Linked DNA regions of Caenorhabditis elegans. The protein of the gene in region 3 purifies or fractionates together with the protein of the main gene of each other region. This does not show direct contact. Each region holds a gene or a part of one and is shown on either strand. Other genes may lie near its edges.

Region 1 (6,088 bases), on a different chromosome or scaffold from region 3:
TCTCTAGTATCGTTAGTTTAATAAGTAGAAATTTTCAGCCATCAAAAGTGTCTAGTCGCCTCGGAGTTCGAGATTCGGTGATCGGAATATCTACGACTACTGATCCATCAAGACGAGAAGCAAACCGGCAGGCATCTCGAGTTGATGACTGTCTTGGTAAAGCATATGACAATGACACTCACTTGTCACTAGTGTGCCATATGGCTCCGAGACTATCAACTTCAAATATTGGATTTCATGATCTTTTTTGGAGTCATTACAAGGATCAGGTAAAAGTTTAAAACTTGCAGTTTCTACCCAAAAAATGCTACAGTTTTGCCAAAAAACCTCTGAGTCTTCCTAAAAACGGCTGAGAAAATTGCTTTAAAAATTTTTACTATGAATCATTTGCTACTCATAGCAACACATTTTTTGCTCACTTTCATAAATCAACTATATTTTTTGCAGGTTTACAAGCGAACTGTCCATATATCAAAAATTATCCGTCTAGTTCGATTTGAAAAGATGCCCCTAATCGAACACAAGGCACTTGTCAGAATGGCTCTTGTCGACATCACAAATCCAAAATCCACTCAAATTGTGAGCAACGTGCACACTCTTGTGCCACGTGTCAAATCTTCAACGTGGTACTTTGAGAAAAAAGAGAGCCAGACGAGAAGCTGCATCGAGTTTTCTGATTTTGTTCTCCGCTCAAACTATCGATCTCCGACAGTGGTACTTGTTGTGGAAGCATCTCATTTGGTGAAGACACAAATAGGAATTGAGGAAAAGAGTTTGGGACATACATATCTGCGACTGATAATTGATGATAAAGCAGTGCCAAGTAGAACGAATGTTTTGTATTTGGATGATGAAGTGATGACAAAAATGAAGTTGCCGGAAGCTTCGAAAAGAAGAGTTCTGGTTCAAGTGATGGATGTTCCCAAGGATAAGGTTTCATATGTGGAGTGAGTTTTGGAAACTAAGAAAGCTGAAAATCTGGATCCCTGACCTGACTTTAAGTTCAACCCAAATTATTTTTCCAGCTCCCTCCCCGATGTCATAGTATTCAATGCTCTTTATTTACCATTCTTCCACTTTTACCGCCGACGAGCTGGAACCATTTTAATTCGGGACAATCGGAATCCATTGAGTGCTGGTAGGATTTCATACCCACCCAAACAATATTTTGAACTAATTTCAGAATTTATATCTGACCCACTTCTCTCTGTATTCCCATTTGTTTGTGACCAGCATGACATTATGGATATAATGCTGAAAATTTGGAAAACCAAAAAGAAAGTGCTCGCCAAGAAAAACGAAGCTGAACAAACTGCCGAGTTCTTCCAAACTTTTCTACACACCGCGTTTTTTATTCATGGGATTCGAATGATTTCGTATGATGTCAAAGATGATCTTACTCTTTCGATTAGGCAACAGGTAGAGCTGCTGCTCTTGGAGCTCGTTTCAAAATCAGGCTTCGATTATTGTAACATTTCAGACTATGCAACGATTTGTGGATGCATTGAATAAGGGACTTTTCAAGCAGTTCATCGCAGATCAACAATGCAAACCAATCAATATTATCGATTATTCATTGGATCTTTTAGGCAATCATTCTATTGACTAATTTATGGAGATAAAATTAAGCTCAATAAAAAATTTAACTGTGTAATAAGTTCTACTCATCTAGCATCTAAGCATAGAAATGTTTCAGTCATTGTTTCAGTAAATTTCAAGTTTTGAAATTTTTGGTTTTGAAATTTTTGGTTTTTTTGTTTAATATTTGAATAATTTAGAGTCGACTCCCAAACATAGGAGTGGTAAAACTGAGCAATGGCCATTTTTCAGTTGTAAATTTTCACACTGTACCCTCTCAAAAAATGGATTTGAAATGAAATATGTTTATTCGCAATAATGAATAAAATTGGGCGATTTTTCAGAATCACAGCCTCATCGAATTTATTCCATTAAGGGGTTTTATTACATCATGAAATTCTGCGAGCTGACGATCAGGATGTGGTTCTGAGAAATCTAAGAGTTCCTAAACTGGCTTGCCGCTGATTACAGTAGCGGCAGCGGAAGAAGCTTCAGGTGCGGCGGTAGAGGCCTCGGAAGAAGCAGCGGTTGATACCACAGAAGCTCCACTTGCAGTAGTATCTCCACCAGCTGTGGATGCAACGGATGCATCGGTTGCTCCAGAGACAGTAGAACCTGGTGCATCAGTACTCACTGGAGCAGCAGTACTTCCACCAGTCGGCTGAGTTCCTTGAGACACGGTACTTCCGTTGTCAGTCACAGGGTTTACAGTGGAGACATCGCTGGCAGTTGTGGATGGAGCAATGGTAGACGGAGCAATAGTGCTTGGAGGTGAGAAGCATGTGTAGCTGGAGTTTACATTTTGTTGGAAGCAAGAAATTGAGTTGTAAAGCAATGTGGCGGTTGTGTTGGCGTTTGCTGATGCGGTAAGTAGGTCTGGAAATAAAATGGAATACGGGAAATTTCAAATGTGAGAATTGAATTTAAGAGCACACCTGGTCAGAAAAATTTACGAACTCCAAAAATATATGCATTAACTTAAAACTTTTAAACTACAGTACAGACTTCCTGCCTATTTACCTGATGCATTATTACTAGCAACTTGAACATTATCATTCAAGCTCTGACCAGTTGCATTGACCACTGTGAAGTTCGCATTAAAACCCTGAAATCAATTGCTCAATAGTCTAGAAAAGCTTAATTGGCACAAATTTACTTTTGTGAAGGCACATGCACCGGTGTCATTAAATTTCAAAATTGTGGAATCCAATTTTGAGAGACTTGAAGCAATAGTTGCAACTTCATTGTTCAGGGTTTGTTCATCGATAGCTTGAGCCACTTCCTGAACGATTTCAATTTGAGAATTTCAGTACTATGTGAAAATGTATTGAAAATGTGTCACCTTGGGAACCACAAGTTGGAAGGTACATTGTCCATTTTGGCATCCGTAATTGAATGATGAATCGAAGGCGAGCAGTGCCGGAACAAATAGGAGAAGTACGAGACGTGTCATCTAAAGGTAACAAAAACGATATACGAAAAAGGCAAAACATCAAGGCATTACATAACTTCAGGCAAATTTGCCTGGTAGGCAGAAAAGTCTAAAATAGATTCAGTTTTAAAATCAATTTAAATTTAAAATTGTATAAATTCGGTCTACCGATGGTAGTTGAAAAATGTAAAAACGGGGCGTTGGTTACAAGCCATCGCCGCATTAAGATAATAAATCATTCAATTTGGCACTGATAAGAAATGAAATGGAAGGAAATGGAAGCTGCTCGGCTACTATTTGAAAAGTCATGACGTCATTGGAATTGGAGGTGGGAGTTTTTAATAAGCGAACAAATTATTTGCTTGATCGTTTTTTTAATGTCTGACTAAATTTTAGTAAATTTTCTGAAAAAGTTAATAAAATATCTATTCGCAGTGATATTCTCAGAAGCTTTTTTCGAGCGAAAAGGAGAGCATAGGTCTTCAAAAAAGTAACACCATAAAACTGTCTGAATTGAAATAAAACACTTTATAATTCTATACAAACATGAAAATAAGGTACCGACAATTGGAAGTTTGCATAAACATCAATCACCATTTTGGTACAACGTCAAGTGTGTCAAATGAAGCCCTTGATGCTCTCTTTGCTGGAGTTTTCGGAGTTTTTGCCAATTCATAGTTAGTTCCTTCAGTAACTGTTGTAACTGACTCTGTCGGGTGCACACTGGCATGTGAACTTTCAGTATCCACTTTGGGGTCACTGGTGGACTTCACGGATGGTACAGCTGTGGAATCTTTCTGAAACTAGACAGTAGAGCTTCATACTGTTAGACATGTCAAACCTTATCAACATCACTTTGTCTCAACCAACGGTAAACAAGAAGAAAGAGAATTGATTGAAGAAGAAATGCAATTCCAGCTAACCCAGCAGAAGCCCACATTCCATGAATTGGTTTTCCAAGCTGTTGGCACAGAATGATACCCCCATTGTTGAAGATATCAATAAACGGGCGACACATGAATATATTAGTTTGAAGGTTTGTCTGAAAAATCGGATGATTAACCGACGCCTTCTAGTATACTCACCCTAAGCGCCGTAATTGACTCATTAATTGACCAGTCTCCACTATCAAAATAGTCATTGTTAAGATCCCTGGCTATCAAAGTCTGAAACATTTTTAGAAACATAAATTTCTAAAGATTGCTAAAATACCATATTTAGAGCATTCGAACTCAACGTCTTCACAATATCCACAAATTGATCGGATAACGAATAAGATTTTTCAAGGAGCTCAATGTATTCTTGGTACTCTTGAACTGCATCCTCATCATCACAATCTGTTAAATTGGATTTCTTTACAGTACTATAACCATGGCTTATTTTGTCAAATGATATCTAAAAAATATTAATTTCGTCAAAAATATTATTTTCTTTCTCACTTCATGATGCTTCTCGAATGAAAATGTCAAATTAGGCAGTTTCATAATTTTCTCGTTTGTCATATTCCGAAAGGCATTCAAGTTCAGCTTCTCGGTAACTGATTCTAGGCGAAACAATTTCTCTCCCTCAATTGCGCTGTACAGTGTCATTCTAGGATTGCGGCAGGATGTGAAAAGTTTTCTGAAAGTTAATTATATGAGCTTTAGGTTCTGAGCTCTGAAATATCTCACCCAATATTCAAATAATCCAAAGGTCCATTTGTTCTATTAATTGATACATGTATACTATGAAACATTGTATAATTATCATCTTGGAAAGTGGGAACACATATGGCTGACACGAACCATCCCAAGATAAAAAGAGTACTCGAAAATAAAAGAAGCACAATGGAAACCACGATGCTAACGTAAAAACCAACGAGAACAATTGTGGCGAGCTTGGGGAATTGAGTGGGCAGGGTGAACTTTGAAGCTTAAAATTCAATTAACTATTCAAGTTTCCTGGAAAATTATTTGAACTTACGTGTATTCTTCCAAAGTGACAGGGCTATTGCTACACATCCAATGATACAAAAAACGAGTCCAATGCAAATAGGCAAAGTCACAAGAAGACGAACACAAATTTTCAAGCTAGAATATCCACTTGACCAAAATCAGATCATGTTCTTCAGTAGCTTTTTCAAGTACCTACCGCCACAAAATGCTCATGACCAGAGTTCAGTGTGCTCAGCGCTTCGGTCACCTCCTGTTGATACGCGATCAGCGAAGTATTGATAGTCTTCAGAGAACCATCAACAATTTTTTGTGCTTGTTTGATGGCTTTTAATGCGCGATTAGATTCGGTTTGAATCTGAAAATTGAGGGGGTTTGAGTAGAAAATTAAGAAAAAGCTATACATGATCTTTAATATCCTTGATCTGGGAATTAATGCGTTGAAGTTGCATGGATCCTTTGATAATGCGTGTGGCTGCTGCGGAGACCTGAACTATTTGTTTTCATTAGTAAGGTATTTTGATAGTGGTTTTTCAAAAAAAAAAAAAAACAAAAACTACAGCGTCTAAATAATGATTTTTAGGTTTAAATTTTCATGATCAAAAATTGTAGGACGTCTTTATGCATACGTGCCTATCTACCGCCTATTCGGTACATTCAACTGAGTTTTTGAGGGCCTGTAAGCAGGCACACATTATTGTAAAATTTACCGGCAATGTTTTCTCAAGCACCGGTATTTCTTTGACCAAATTTTTTGCATGTGCCTTGCAGTCCATATCAAGAGTGTTCATATTTCGAAGACGATTTACCAGAGCATTTCCTGACTTTATTGTGATTTGATTTTGATCTCGATAGCCAGAAAGATCAAACTGAAAATTAATTGATCTTATTGAATACATTCTTTAAACCTACATCATTAACATCGACTATTCCAACACCACTTTCCGTGTCGTCAACTACAGTTGACGTGTAATTTGAAACAAAAGAGTTCAAATGGGCAAAGTTGTGAGAAGTTGTACGTAAGAATTCACATGCCACTTGATATGCACCTTCGGTTAGGACTTTGGTGCGGTCTGGAAAAATGCTGTTCAGCAAAAAAGGCAACTGCCGGAAAGTGACGGACAAGTAGAAGGGCAAAGATCTGAGG
Region 2 (6,058 bases), on a different chromosome or scaffold from region 3:
AATGGGTGAAAATAAACAAAAGTGAGATGTTAGGACATCTCATCTTTGCCTATGTTTTAATCTAAGAAGCTTTCTTTAGTTTCTTGCCCTAGATTAATCTCATCTCTCAGCACTTTAGCACATTCCTCATTCCTTTCAGTTCAAAGTATTTCGAGCAAATAACCCCATAACAAAATTTATAACTGTGGAACAATGTGGGCGAGATCACAATTTATTGTGTTTTTCGGCTCGCAGAGCACATTCATTCTTTCTACTAATGTTCATAGCAACGGGAAGTACAAGTAGGCTAAAGGTCGATGCATGCTTTTGTTTTTTTTTCTTGGATTTTTTCTTGGAAATGAGCATGCGTGTTAATTTTCTAAGAAAACTTATCAAGAATTTTGGGCGATATTTGGTTGATATGAGGCGTTGTTCATATTTGTGGTATTATGGCTCAAAATCTAAATAATGTGTTCTAATTAGGGGTGGCAAGAGTGCGACCTAGGTCGCTAGGTCGCTGTTTTCATTTAGGTCGCATCGCGACCTAGGTCGCATTGCGACCTGCGACCTAGCGACCTGGGTCGCATTGCGACCTGCGACCTAGCGACCTAGGTCGCATTGCGACCTGCGACCTAGCGACCTGCGACCTTGCGACCTGGGTCGCATTGCGCTTTGCGACCTGAAGTACTGACATTTTTTATACTAACAAATTGCTACAAATCATTTATTTTACATTGTTTTCGATTTCTTATCCATAAGACACCTTGTCGAAAAAAGTTAGAACAGCCGACATCCGCCGGATTTGCTGCTTTTTTCTACGTTTTTAATTCGAAAAGTGGAAAATTAAATTTTAGAAACAACAAAAACCACAAAAACGTGAACTTTTTGAAACAATTTGCTGAAATGCATGGTTTTATTTGTAGAAATGAATTCTTTGTTCCGTACTTTTGAAAAAAAACTACGCATAAACTTATAAAATCTTAATAGAGAAAATGTTATTGGAATATACATATTCTGCAATCTTTAGTTTTCGAGTTATACAGTTTTCGAGTTATACGATTTTAACAACTCAAGTGAATCAAAACCGAAAGAGAACAAAATGTCGGTAATTCAGGTCGCAATGCGACCTAGGTCGCTAGGTCGCAGGTCGCTAGGTCGCAGGTCGCAATGCGACCTAGGTCGCGATGCGACCTAACCCTCTAGGTCGCAGGTCGACCTAGGTCGACCTATAGCCACCCCTAATTCTAATATATCAGGAGATGTTTAAAAATAGTTCATGACTGCCAGATAAACACACAATTTTCAAAGCAATGTATCCGTTTTGTTGTTGTCAACTTAGGTATTAGTGCATGCGTGGTTGTAATAAGCACAAAGCTGAAATATCTAATTTTAGGAAAAGCACGTAAACTTTCTTGTTTTATCATTATCAAGTTTCACTGTAAAGTTTTTTATTATTTTCAAGTTGTCTATGGTGGAGAAATAAAAAGGTTATAGTTGAAACTTTATTGTCTTATCAGTAGTCAAAAAATTTTTGAAAACCCTCACTTTTCTGAGGTGTATTTTCTATTTTTCCAGAAGTCATATCAAACATAATACAGTAGGGTTCTAGCAAACTTTAGTGAACATTCATTGTTTGAGTGGTCTTTCCAGTTGCAACAAATACTACGTATTTAGATAAATATCAAAAAATTATAAAACCTAGCTACTGTACCAGCCAAAAATTAGCTAAAATGATGATTTTATCTTTAAAAAAAATTCAAACTAGTGTTTTAACCAGCAACAGTGTAAACCTTTATAGAAGTATATGTGATTCGTCGTCAAAAATGCAAGGCAATCGTTTTTTTCAAGTTTTTTTAATGATAATGCTGAAATCTTGAAAGTTTGCTGAAATGTACTAAAAACTGAGTACTACTTTGTATTTATCTGGCTGTAACTGTTTGTGAGCTGCAATTACTTTAATACAAACCAACATTTTTATAGCGCTTTTTCAGAGCAAAATACATGGCGTAAAAAACAAGTATGTACATGTGTTTTGTTTGTAACTTTTCTTTTGTTGCTTGGTAAAGATGTCAATTTAATATTGTTATTGAATATCACAATATAATGTAGGCAATCTGCTACTTCAAACATTTGAGACAGCAAGACACGCAGGCATCTCGACAAAACGGCGCTGCTGGGCAGAACAGGCCGGCCAGTGTCGGCAGTGGAAGAGGGCGACGGCGACCGTCCGTCTTTTGGCCGCATGTTCTCCCCCATTTTTCCTCTCCCTTGCAAACACTTTTTATTCTCTTTCTACGGTTTGCAATTCTGCCAATTCTGCAGTGTTTCGGCGAAATGAATTTTCTTAGTTTAAACTGGGAAACTATTAAGCGGCAGTGTGATAGGCTTGGTTGCCACAAAAAAGTTACTCGTTTTGTTTTGCAAATTTACAAAATTTTTAACAAGTTGCTAAATTCCTTTTTTAAGTCTTTTTTAAATATACAATTCCAATGCAAAAAAATATCCCAATGCGTCACATGTTCTATATTTTCCTTCATCACTCCTCGTCTTGCATGTTTTTCAAATACAACTGTTATGTGAATACCCTTTCTGAAAGAAAATTATTATTTACGCCCAACGTTCTTTCAGTTGACTTAACATCACTCAATAGTTTCCTTTTTCAGTTACTTGGGTATACTCATAATGGAAGAACCCCACCCAGCACCAAGGAATGATCGAGATGCGGAAGGTGAAGAGGCTAGGCACGCTTTAAGGATGGAGAGACAACTTGCAATTCGTGAGGGACGTTATCTGCCTCCACTCCCACAACTTCCACCATTGATCCAGCTGATTCCTGTGCACCGCGCTCAGGCGAACGAAGCTGTCGATAGAGCCATTGAATTTCAGCTAAACCAGAGGCGGCAGTTTTTGCTGCAACACCTTCGACCTGAGCATTTTCAGCCTGGTGGATTCTTTGATCCGCAGCCAGAGGGAAACTATCATCCTTTGTCTCCACAACATAGTGACGAAGAGCTTGATGACGCGGAAGAGGAGATTGAGAGACAGCGACGAATCCGCCAAAACTGGAGAAACTACATGAACCAGAGAGTTGATCCCATTCCACAAGAGATCGTTGACCGCTTGCTCCGGGAATACGACAATTGGGCAAGAGCCGCGTTAAACAATAACAATGGAAATTTTCGAAACTACAATGCGATGCTCTCCCCATCACCATCTCCATCACCAAATGCATCACCAGCACCGTCAGACGACGAAGATCCGATGGAGCACGTGAATTCTGATGATGAAGATGTCGAGATGCTTAATGCTCAAATGATGGAAATGCGTCCCAATCAGCCGAGACCAAGAAAGCGTCATAATTCTCAAGGACCATTACCGATCAAAAGGAAAAGAGTCACTTTCAAGGAGGACTCTTCAGATGAGGTTCGGAATTTTTCGGGCTTTTGAAATTTTTTGCAAAACACCCAAAAAATTTTACAATATAATCATACAAAATTCAAAATTTCAGGCCATCAACTCATTCGATGAGGACAGCTCCGATTGCAATGACAATGTTCCAGTCAACCGTAAACGTGAGGAATAAACATAATTAATTCAGCGAGTCAGCTAATGTCAAAATGTTTAGAATATGACGACGACGACGAGGGATTTTTCGGAGGACCCCCGGCACGCCACAACTCCTTTGTTGCATAGAAGTAAATCTCAAATTAACCAACTTTTCTTCAACACACTTTTACCAATTTTTCTAACGAGAAACTACCGGTTCCCCGGTGGCACCGTACGCCATTTTCTGTGAATGTTTTTTTTCAAACCCCGTTTTTCTTTCTTTCTTTCCATTTCTGTCCGACTCATTTCCGCCACATTTCCTCGCCAATCCACTTCCCCGCACCACTTGGGATCTCGTTTCATTTTCATGACTGTTCTTCTGGAAATTTAATCACAAAGTCCAAAACTCATTTCTCATCCTGTTTTATACTCTCAATTTACTTTTTGAATTAACATTATCGTCATTAATTTTAATTGGGAATTTTGAACATAATACAATTTTATGTGAAATTACAACCTAAAACATAAATATCACAGAAAAATACATAAAGATTGGAATGTATGTGAAACTGTAACTAGTAAAATTGTTCAATATGATCGATGGGTTTCTGAGTGATGTAGGACAGATAACAATTCCAGAAGAATGCGACGACCTGAAAAATTAATTGAAAAAATAAACTGATTGATGTGTTTCGTTTCAATGGCGTGATAAACTGTCTAATAAAAATTGAACCTTTTAAACAGTTGTATTTTGGTTATGATTTATTCTTCAAACTTTGGTCAAAATGTACCTGGTTAAGTATTACTCGATAATTGAGTGGAACAAAGCACAAATTCACAACTTGAACAAATGGCCAAACCTGGAATAGTATTTTTGTACGACATAAATTTTTGAGTGCTTGGCAATAATAAAAAATGATTTGGAAGTTAGTTAGGTTTCACGCTGACGTGGCGCATGTTTTCTGTCAAAAATTCACTTTTATTGTAATTTTCATTACGTGTAAATTGCTTCTAAATCAGAAAACTTCTTAATAAAGCTTTGCTGATCGAGATAATGTTTTGAAATTATATATGTATTACTTCACAAAATAAGCAATTCTACTACAATCAACCTTATTTTTCACATAATTTTTAACAGTTAGAGGCCTTTAAATGTTTATAATACAAGTTGAAAAACAGTTTTCAGCAATATGGTGATGATGCTATTGATACTTTATTTTTATTCGAACTATTTCTCCTCAGCATCAGTTTTTGTTCGTCTTCCTCCAAATCTATGTTGATCCAATCCTCATTTTGTGAATATCAATGCATCCTCTTTTTATTGTGCACTCTTTCAATTTCGGGATAAAGCTCTGCTCTTTTGGCGAGGACGAGTCGCAAATGCGACACTCGCGCACACGACGACGAATCGCACCAGCGATTCACCACGTCGCAACGACAAAACTCGCATCGCCGATAACGAAGAGGACCGCCGGTGCGACATAGATGTCGCAATGGAAACCCGTTGGCGACTTGCGAATCGCTCCGACGACACCGCCGGCGATGTGGACTCGCAATGTTGGAGCAGTTGGATGTTGCGTGTCCGCGTCGCGACGAGCCAGCGATAGGCGACAAATGCAGGCAGCAGTGGCTCAATTGCGGCGACGACCCGCACATTTTCTCGGCTGTCTCTTTTCGTTGAGACGCCTTGCTGGGAGATGAGGCGCGAAGAGAAAGGAGTCCTCATTCTGTCATTTGGAGAGGGAAAAATGGGTGAGAGAAAAAGAAAAGGTAATAGAGATGTCCAGTGTGTGTTCCGATTAGAAGAAAGTTTCGAAATTTGAGGGAACTGGGTTGAGCGCAACGAATGTGAAATCAGAGATTAGTTGTGATAATTAAGAATGTTAAAATAGAAAAAAAATATATGTTGTGTCATTTTATGTTTTAATTTTATTAACTGATTTACCCAAAATTGAAACAAAGCATAGCGCCAGTAGATAATGTTCAAAATTGCTTTTATGGAGCTAGTTACATATTTAAGTAAAACTTTCTAAAAACTATTTCTAAAAAGTTGTATTACTATCAAAAAGTGGCATTTTCCTTGTTTACAACTATTTAAACTTCATTCGCCGACCAAATAATTTACTACAAGCTTGATATTTTTATTGTATTTTAATAATTTATGGTTGAAGATTGTATGGCTTTATACGGGCACTTTTAATTTTTTATTATTAGCTAATTCGTCAAAACTGTAACTGAGAAACTTAAGTCTAAACAATCTTTGAATTGTTCATCTAATCTTTGAATGAAGCTTTGAAAATGAATGTATTTTTTCCTAATTTTCCAAAAAAATGTATGTACCTTTAAACTTGTTGCATAAATGTTGAACCAATCTTCTTTTAGAAGATCCCACGACTTTTCCGCTGATTGGTGTTGCAATAGCCGGAGATTGAACAGTATTGCGGCGTTAAAGCAAGGACTAAAACAGAGCTGGAAAATTGTATTTTAAAGGTTGTTATTTTTATAAATTTGATGTTAATCACCTGGTCAATGC
Region 3 (7,997 bases):
CGGCAAAATGCCGGAATTGAAAATTTCCGGCAATTTTCCAGAATTGAAATTTCTTGCAAAGCGGCAAATTTCCGGCAAATCGCCAAATTCCCGATATGAAAAATTTCTGGCAAATTGGCAAAATCCAGAATTGAAAATTTCTGGACAATCGGCAAATCGACGGAATTGAAAATTTCCGGCAAATCGGCAAATTGCCAGAATTGAAATTTCTGGCAAATCGGCGAATTGCCGAAATTGAAAATTTCCGGCAAATCGGCAAATTGCCAGAATTGAAATTCCCAGCTAATTGGCAAATTGCCAGAATTGAAATTTCTGGCAAAGTGGCACAATTCCAGAATTGAAATTTCTTGCAAAGCGGCAAATTTCCGGCAAATCGCCAAATTCCCGATATGAAAAATTTCTGGCAAATTGGCAAAATCCAGAATTGAAAATTTCTGGACAATCGGCAAATCGACGGAATTGAAAATTTCCGGCAAATCGGCAAATTGCCAGAATTGAAATTTCTGGCAAATCGGCGAATTGCCGAAATTGGAAATTTCCGGCAAGTCGGCAAATTGCCAGAATTGAAATTCCCAGCTAATTGGCAAATTGCCAGAATTGAAATTTCTGGCAAAGTGGCAAAATTCCGGAATTGAAATTTCTGGCAAATCGGCAAATTGTCAGAATTGAAATTTCTTGCAAATCGGCAAATTGCCGGAATTGAAAATTTTTGGCAAATTGGCAAATTGCCAGAATTGAAATTTCTGGCACATCGGCAAATTTCCGGAATTGAAAATTTTTGGCAAGTCGGCAAATTGCCAGAATCGAAATTCCCGGCTAATCGACAAATTTCCGGAAATGAAATTTCCGGCAAATCGGCAAATTGCCAAAATTGAAGTTTCTGGCAAATCGGCAAATTTCCGGCAAATCGCCAATTTGCCGTAATGAAAAATTTCTGGAAAATTGGTAAATTGCCAGAATTGAAATTTCTTGCAAATCGCCAAATTGCCAAAATTGAAGTTTCTGGCAAATCGGCAAATTTCCGGCAAATCGCCAATTTGCCGTAATGAAAAATTTCTGGAAAATTGGCAAATTGCCAGAATTGAAATTTCTTGCAAATCGCCAAATTGCCAAAATTGAAGTTTCTGGCAAATCGGCAAATTTCCGGCAAATCGCCAATTTGCCGTAATGAAAAATTTCTGGAAAATTGGCAAATTGCCAGAATTGAAATTTCTTGCAAATCGCCAAATTGCCAAAATTGAAGTTTCTGGCAAATCGGCAAATTGCCAGAATTGAAATTTCCGGCAAATTGGCAAATTTCCGGCAAATTGCCAGAATTGAAAATTTCCGGTAAATCGGCAAACCGGCAAATTGCCGATTCTCCGAATTTGCCGGAAAAACTGTAGTTGCCAAAAAATATCGGCAAATTTTGGTTTTGCACATTTTTTCGGAAATTTCAGAATTTCAATTTTAATCGGCAAAATTGTACGCATCCTAAGAATCTTCCTACATCTATTTTGCAAATTCTATGAAAATATCTTTAAAAAACCATGAAAAAAGTTTCAAAAAGGCACAGTTTTAAGTGTTTCCGTCTTATAAAAAATCCCTTTAAACATTTCCGGTAAACTGCGAACCGGCAAATTGCCGGAATCGAAAATTTTCGGCAAATTGGCAAACCGGCAAAATTTTGTAATTATTTGCACAATTATGTATATTGTTTCATACCTTTTGATGATGTCGTAATTTTTTTTTCACGATAGAAATTGTCGTTTAAAAATGAATAAATACTGCTCAGAGGTCTGAACTGTTGTACTAATTGTGAATGTGCTATATATTCATTCATTAAACAGTTGTGAATAATTAATATCCCATAAGCCAATTGAAGAAACCATTGGACTTCTTTGCAACCTCCGACTCCTCGAACTCGGGTTTCGAAGTTGTAGCTGGTTGCAGAGCCAACGGAAGCACACAATAAGAGGCGTCCAAGCTTGTCGATGTTATAACAATCTGTCCACCAGTTTTCATCTTGCCCAACGCGTTATTAATCACTCTAGCAGAACTTCCACTTGTGAGTGGCGTTTTAAAACCATCCGAATTCAAAAAATAGAACTCAACGTTTGAAGACGCCAGACAGTTTAGATTCAGTTCAGGAGCCCCACTGGTTTGGTTAACTTGGTAATATCCAGTTAGATTATAGATACAGTTAGAGTTGGCTGGAACAACTGAGGAGTTTGTATTGTTGGAGTTGTAGCCAGGGGAGTACCAAACTCCTCTATTATTTGTGCCAATGGTGAAGTTAGTTCCAGCGGCTGAGCAGGCAACTGAAAAAATCCAGAGTAAAAAAAAACGAAGCGGATGGTTCTAAAATCTAAAAAAAAAGCTAACCTTGCTGGCACTGAGTGTATCCGTCCATATCTCCCGGGCAATTTGTGCAGTATGGTCTGTTGAGACTATCCAATTGGCATGGCCCGCTTCCTGTGCAATTAAATGCCAAACATGGATTTGGAGTAGTTGTTGGTGGTGGAGCAGTTGAGGTGGCTGCAAGTTAAGATTACTTTGCTTGATTCAGGGGTGGGCGCCAATTGCCGTTCGGAAAATCGAAAAATTGCCGGTTTGCCGAGTTGCCGGCAATTTGCCGATTTGCCGATTTGCCGGTTGGCCGGAAATTTTCAATTCCGGCACTTTGCCGATTTTCCAGAAATTTTCAATTCTGGCAATTGCCGATTTGCCAGAAATTTTCAATTCTGGCAATTGCCGATTTGCCAGAAATTTTCAATTCCGGCAACTTGCCGATTTGCCAGAAGTTTTCAATTCCGGCAATTTCCCGATTTGCCAGAAATTTTCAATTCTGGCAATTGCCGATTTGCCAGAAAGTTTCAATTCCGGAAATTGCCGATTTGCCAAAAATTTCAATTCTGACAATTTGCCGATTTTCCAGAAATTTTCAATTCTGGCAATTGCCGATTTGCCAGAAATTTTCAATTCCGGAATTTTGCCGATGTGCCGGAAATTTTCACTTTCGGCAATTTGCCGATTTGCAAGAAATTTCAATTCCGGCAATTGCCGATTTGCCGGTTTGCTGGAAATTTTTTTTTGCCGATTAAAATTGAAATTATGACATTTCCAAAAAAAATGTGCAAAACCAAAATTTCCGTTTTCCGGAAACTTCGGCAAATTGACAATTTGCCAAAAATTTTTAATTCCGGCAATTTGCCGATTTACCGATTTTCCTGAAAATTTTGGATTATTTCGAAAGTTTTCCGCTTGTTTTTTGTATAAATTTTCTTTAAAATTTTTCAGAATGAGTTTTTTCTCAAAACTTTCAAAAAATTTGCCGAAAAGACAGGGACAAAAATACAACCGTTGAAAATATTTTTTTAAAAAATGATATTTTTGTAGTAATCTAGACTATCGTTTCAAAGCTTTCATCCCTGTTAGGTGTTCTTGGCCTCCTTTCATTGCAACTTACTTGGTGGTGCTGGAGTTGTCGCTGAAAAAAATCACAATTACTAGAAAAAACCTCCACTGTTTCAGAACTCACGCTTCAAACATCTCTGATATAGACAATTGCCCTGCGCCGAGTTCACCTGACCGATAAACTTCTCCACAAACGTCAGAGTAGTCTGCGCGTCATTTTGCTGATTTGTGATCACTATGATATTATTTTGAATCGCGTTCAAATTTTTTTGAATACTATCCAGTAGGGCTTGAAGATCCTTAATCTTTTGAACTGCCTCATCATTGGCCTCCTTCACAGCCTTATCCTTATCACTGGCCTGACCTTGAAGACCTGAGAATTGGGTGCGCTCTGTGGCGACAGCAGATTGATCAGTGGCGAGAAGGACTTGGTTGTTGCCAGGAGCATTGAAAGTGTAGGTGCAAGAAGCATCCACGCATACCGGAGAGGAGAACTCTGAAAATTTGTGAATAGGTGTAAACGCCTACTTGCCTGCCTTCAAGGCGGCCTACATGCCATTCTATGTACTGCTAAAGTTGTCTTTGCATTTCACGTGGGCACTCGGTGTCTGATAGTCTTTCTACCTACGCGTGCCTTCCCGTCTTCTGCGCTGTTTAACCTACCTACGACTGCCTACCAGGCAGCCTACGACTGCCTACCAAGCTACCTACAGTGGATCTCGTGCCTACTTCACATAGCTATCTAATACAACTCACGCAAAAGACTGTACGTCACATTTGGAAGCGGTGCTGGTGTAGTTGGTCCAGCTGATACAGTAGACCCTCCAGAGGTCACTGGAGCCGCCGAAGAGCTTGATGGCTCGGCAGTGGTTGCTCCGGACGATGGGGATACTGTAGATACGGGTGCTCCAGAGGATGCGGCTGCTTGAGTAGTGGCAGATGGGTCAACGGAAGTTGGAGAAGCTGGAGCCTGGGATGGTGCTGCTGATGAGGAAGCGTCTGTTGAGGGAGAAGCTGCGACGGTTGTTGCTACCGATGAAGAATTTGAGGCTCCCGGGTCTCCATTGCCACTAACCAATGTGGCTAATCTGAAAAAAATTTGGAAAAATTATTGTTTCGAGAAAAATCAATACCTTTTCCAAGAAAATTAATAATTTTGGAAGAAAAATCGTCAATTTCTTGGAAAAATCAATATTTTCCATTTTAAAAAGTCGGCTAAAAATTTGAAAAAACTCGATGCTTCTTCTAAAAAACCCCAGTTTCTGGAAAAAATACGAAAAAAATCAAACAATTTTGCCCAAAACTTACAGTAACCCAACACATAACGCCAAAAACCGGAATTTCATTTCTAGCGACAAGAAGCCTGTGTAGAAACAGAAGTGATACTGCCGAAAATTTAGAAATTTGCCTTATCAGCTTAAAAAGGGCGTCGAATTGAATGATTTATGTTTGCTCCCCATCCAAAAATGTACTACCGTCATAATGCACAACTACTGATATATTTGCTGGTGATAAGAATGATTTATACCGTTTTTACGACGGCAATTTTAAACAGGAAGGGGAGTTTAAATGTGAAAAATGGAAGAGAAATTGACTGAAACGTGGTCAAATTTGACTGTAAATGAACCAAACATGCCTACATGCCTACAAATTGTCGTTTTAAATTCTGAAAAAACGCAAAATTTGCGAAAAAATGGCTACGGGAATTTTCGAAAAATTTAGTCTGAAGTCAGATATGAATTTTCAAAGTTTGAAAAATCTACTATTTTTGCATTTAAATTGACTATTCCAAATTAACTCAAAATGTGCTCAAAAATCCACATTTCCTGCTTGAACTCGGCAATTTCGGAAGTTGTTGGAATGCCGCTTTCAAATTCTGAAAGAACACAAAATTTGCGACAAAATGGCTACGGGAATTTTTGAAACATTTAATTTGAAGTCAGATATGAATTTTCAAAGTTTGGAAAATCTACTAATTTCGCATATAAATGGTCAGTTTTATTTAGGGCTGTACAAATCGGCGTCCGGTCGTCCGATTTTGACACCACCGGACGCACCGCGTCCGGTTTTGGGGTAGGTTTCCACGGCGGCCGACAATTTCCGAGTTTCGCCACTCACTATACTTAATCAGCAATTTTATAGTGGGTGGTGAAACTCGGAAATTGTCGGCCGTCGTGGATAGCTACCCCCAACCGGACGACCGGACGTCCGGTTGTACAGCCCTAGTTTTATTTAACCTCAATTTATACTCTAAAAGGTTTGATATCTCTAAAGGTATCTCTGCTTAAACTTGGCGGTTATGCGAGCTACTGAATCCAAACTCCAAAAAATGCCTACCTGTCTACATGCCTACATGCCTACATGTCTACATAGATATCAAAAACAAATCACACAACAAATAGAACCGAAGGAAATTACTTTACTACCACTTCAATTCTCTAAATCTCTCACTGAAAACAAGTTTTTTTTTGTTTTCTATTGCTGATAACTTTTGAACTTGACTGACTCATCATGAGGAATAAAATATCGTTAGCAATAAGTGGATATATAAAAGTTAAATGAAAATAGCAAGAAAATCACAAATTCTCAATGGTCAGTGCTACTAAATTAAGCTCGAAAGCAGATGAGGCGAAGAAGCAAAAAGTCTTCGTTGCAATGGGGTAAGTCTTTCTTTTTATACAAACGAAGAAGGCCTAAGCCTAAGCCTACGCCTAACATCGAAAGTAAATTATTCCAGAGAAGACTTGTTCGAAAAGCCAGCAAACTCGAGAAGCACCTTCAATTCCATTATCCTCTTCACTCTAACTGCGTTGACATTCTACATCATTGGTTCTTTAGTTCAGCAGAGAACCTCTGAATCACTCCCAACAAGATTTCAATGGGAAACCCCAATTCACATGGACCGAACCACTGAGGAATTTCTTGATTGGAGAGAGAAAGGAATTGTTGGACCAGTTAAAGATCAGGGAAAATGCAATGCATCCCACGCATTTGCGATAACTTCCAGTATTGAGTCAATGTACGCCAAGGCTACAAATGGAACACTTTTGTCATTTTCTGAGCAGCAGCTTATTGATTGTAATGATCAGGGATATAAGGGATGTGAGGAGCAATTTGCGATGAATGCTATTGGGTAATTGTTTTGGGTTGATTTAAGGTTTAGACCGTGATGAGCAATTGAAAAGCGAAAATTTTTATAGTGGCTCTGTCGTTTTAGAAATACAAGCTCGTGTACCTCGATGCCGGAAAGGTCTAGAAATTTCCAACCAGCAAACTGTTCTTTATTTCAAACATGATTAACATTTCGTTTATTAATTACGTTTATTAATTAGTCTATCCGTTTTTGAGACACGCAAATTTGAAGGTCATTAGACCTTGTCTTCAAATACCTAAATCTTTGAAGTTAATAGAGTGGTAAAAATGTGATCAATTGATAATAAATGCTTATGCAATAATGATAGGTAGCATTTGTCGTTTAAAACACCCATAAATGTGAATCGGAACCTAATTATTTAACAATTTTGTCAGATGAAAACCTTTAGCGCTAAATATTCAAAATTTCAGATACCTCGCCACTCATGGCATAGAAACAGAAGCAGACTATCCATATGTTGACAAGACAAATGAAAAGTGTACCTTTGACTCAACTAAATCAAAAATTCATTTAAAAAAAGGAGTTGTGGCAGAGGGTAATGAAGTACTGGGGAAAGTTTATGTCACAAATTATGGACCCGCGTTTTTCAGTGAGTTTTTTTTTTTTATTGGTCATAATTGTGCAAAAAGTAAATTTCTTGATAGATCATTTAAAGTTAGAGTAGCGCCAATTGGGATTTGGTCTAAATGTACTTATAATGATCCAAAACTACCGAATATCATAATAAAACTCTTTAAAAAATTTTAGTAAAAAATTTTTTTTTTGGTCGACTTCCAAAATTATGAGTGGCAAAAATTGAGTAATTGCCACTTTTTGACAGTTAATAAAAAATTTTCAAAAATTTTTTGAAAAGTTTTATCACGATATTTGGCCATTTTGGGACCAAAGGAGTGGTTTTTAACATATTCCCCACTGGCGCTACTCCACCTTTAATAGCAATACAAATATTTTCAGCGATGCGCGCCCCTCCATCCCTCTACGATTATAAAATCGGAATCTACAACCCATCCATTGAAGAATGTACAAGTACACATGAAATCCGATCAATGGTAATCGTTGGGTACGGTATCGAGGGAGAGCAAAAATATTGGATTGTGAAGGGCTCATTCGGGACATCGTGGGGAGAGCAGGGATATATGAAGTTGGCAAGAGATGTTAATGCATGTGCAATGGCAACTACAATTGCAGTTCTTACCGAGTTTGTATAATTTTGAGAATTGTTATTACGATAAGAATGAATATTTATCTACAGCGCGGGCTTCTGACTTCCTTTATATTTTGATATAGATCTCACTTAAAATTAAATTTTTCAGAATTTTTCTTCGGGTACTTGTTTCAAATTTTTGCTGTTTTTTATTTTCTTTTTCTCTTTCTGAATTTATATACCAAATTTTTTAAGTACCAGTAGCTTCCAGTTCAATCATAAAATCTGAATTTTCAGGCATAA

The links.
Region 1: the proteins of H34I24.2 (region 3) and M28.10 fractionate together in Caenorhabditis elegans (co-fractionation; one large-scale study listed by BioGRID). This does not show direct contact.
Region 2: the proteins of H34I24.2 (region 3) and T18D3.6 fractionate together in Caenorhabditis elegans (co-fractionation; one large-scale study listed by BioGRID). This does not show direct contact.

Annotation. Positions count from the first base shown.
Region 1 is NC_003280.10:10,644,459-10,650,546, reverse strand, and holds M28.10 (Flo11 domain-containing protein), read right to left. Parts: upstream 3,032-6,088; coding exon 2,921-3,031; intron 2,861-2,920; coding exon 2,735-2,860; intron 2,684-2,734; coding exon 2,599-2,683; intron 2,455-2,598; coding exon 2,024-2,454; 3' UTR 1,871-2,023; downstream 1-1,870. Other genes in the region: nphp-1 (Nephrocystin-1-like protein), read left to right, coding at 39-269, 448-947, 1,026-1,138, 1,184-1,419, 1,481-1,609; M28.4 (Protein tweety homolog), read right to left, coding at 3,601-3,807, 3,852-4,052, 4,096-4,176, 4,223-4,405, 4,450-4,630, 4,681-4,921, 4,973-5,096, 5,141-5,299 and 3 more.
Region 2 is NC_003284.9:12,447,256-12,453,313, forward strand, and holds T18D3.6 (uncharacterized protein), read left to right. Parts: upstream 1-2,636; 5' UTR 2,637-2,661; coding exon 2,662-3,402; intron 3,403-3,487; coding exon 3,488-3,551; intron 3,552-3,604; coding exon 3,605-3,672; 3' UTR 3,673-4,100; coding exon of another isoform or gene 4,101-4,178; 3' UTR 4,179-4,188; downstream 4,189-6,058. Other genes in the region: T18D3.9 (Mitochondrial inner membrane protein Mpv17), read right to left, coding at 4,101-4,178, 4,317-4,385, 5,866-5,994, 6,048-6,058.
Region 3 is NC_003281.10:2,838,916-2,846,912, reverse strand, and holds H34I24.2 (CUB domain-containing protein), read right to left. Parts: upstream 4,870-7,997; 5' UTR 4,743-4,869; coding exon 4,705-4,742; intron 4,485-4,704; coding exon 4,153-4,484; intron 3,893-4,152; coding exon 3,521-3,892; intron 3,470-3,520; coding exon 3,449-3,469; intron 2,518-3,448; coding exon 2,365-2,517; intron 2,301-2,364; coding exon 1,840-2,300; 3' UTR 1,716-1,839; downstream 1-1,715. Other genes in the region: Y71H2AR.2 (Peptidase C1A papain C-terminal domain-containing protein), read left to right, coding at 5,986-6,056, 6,134-6,529, 6,961-7,139, 7,505-7,758.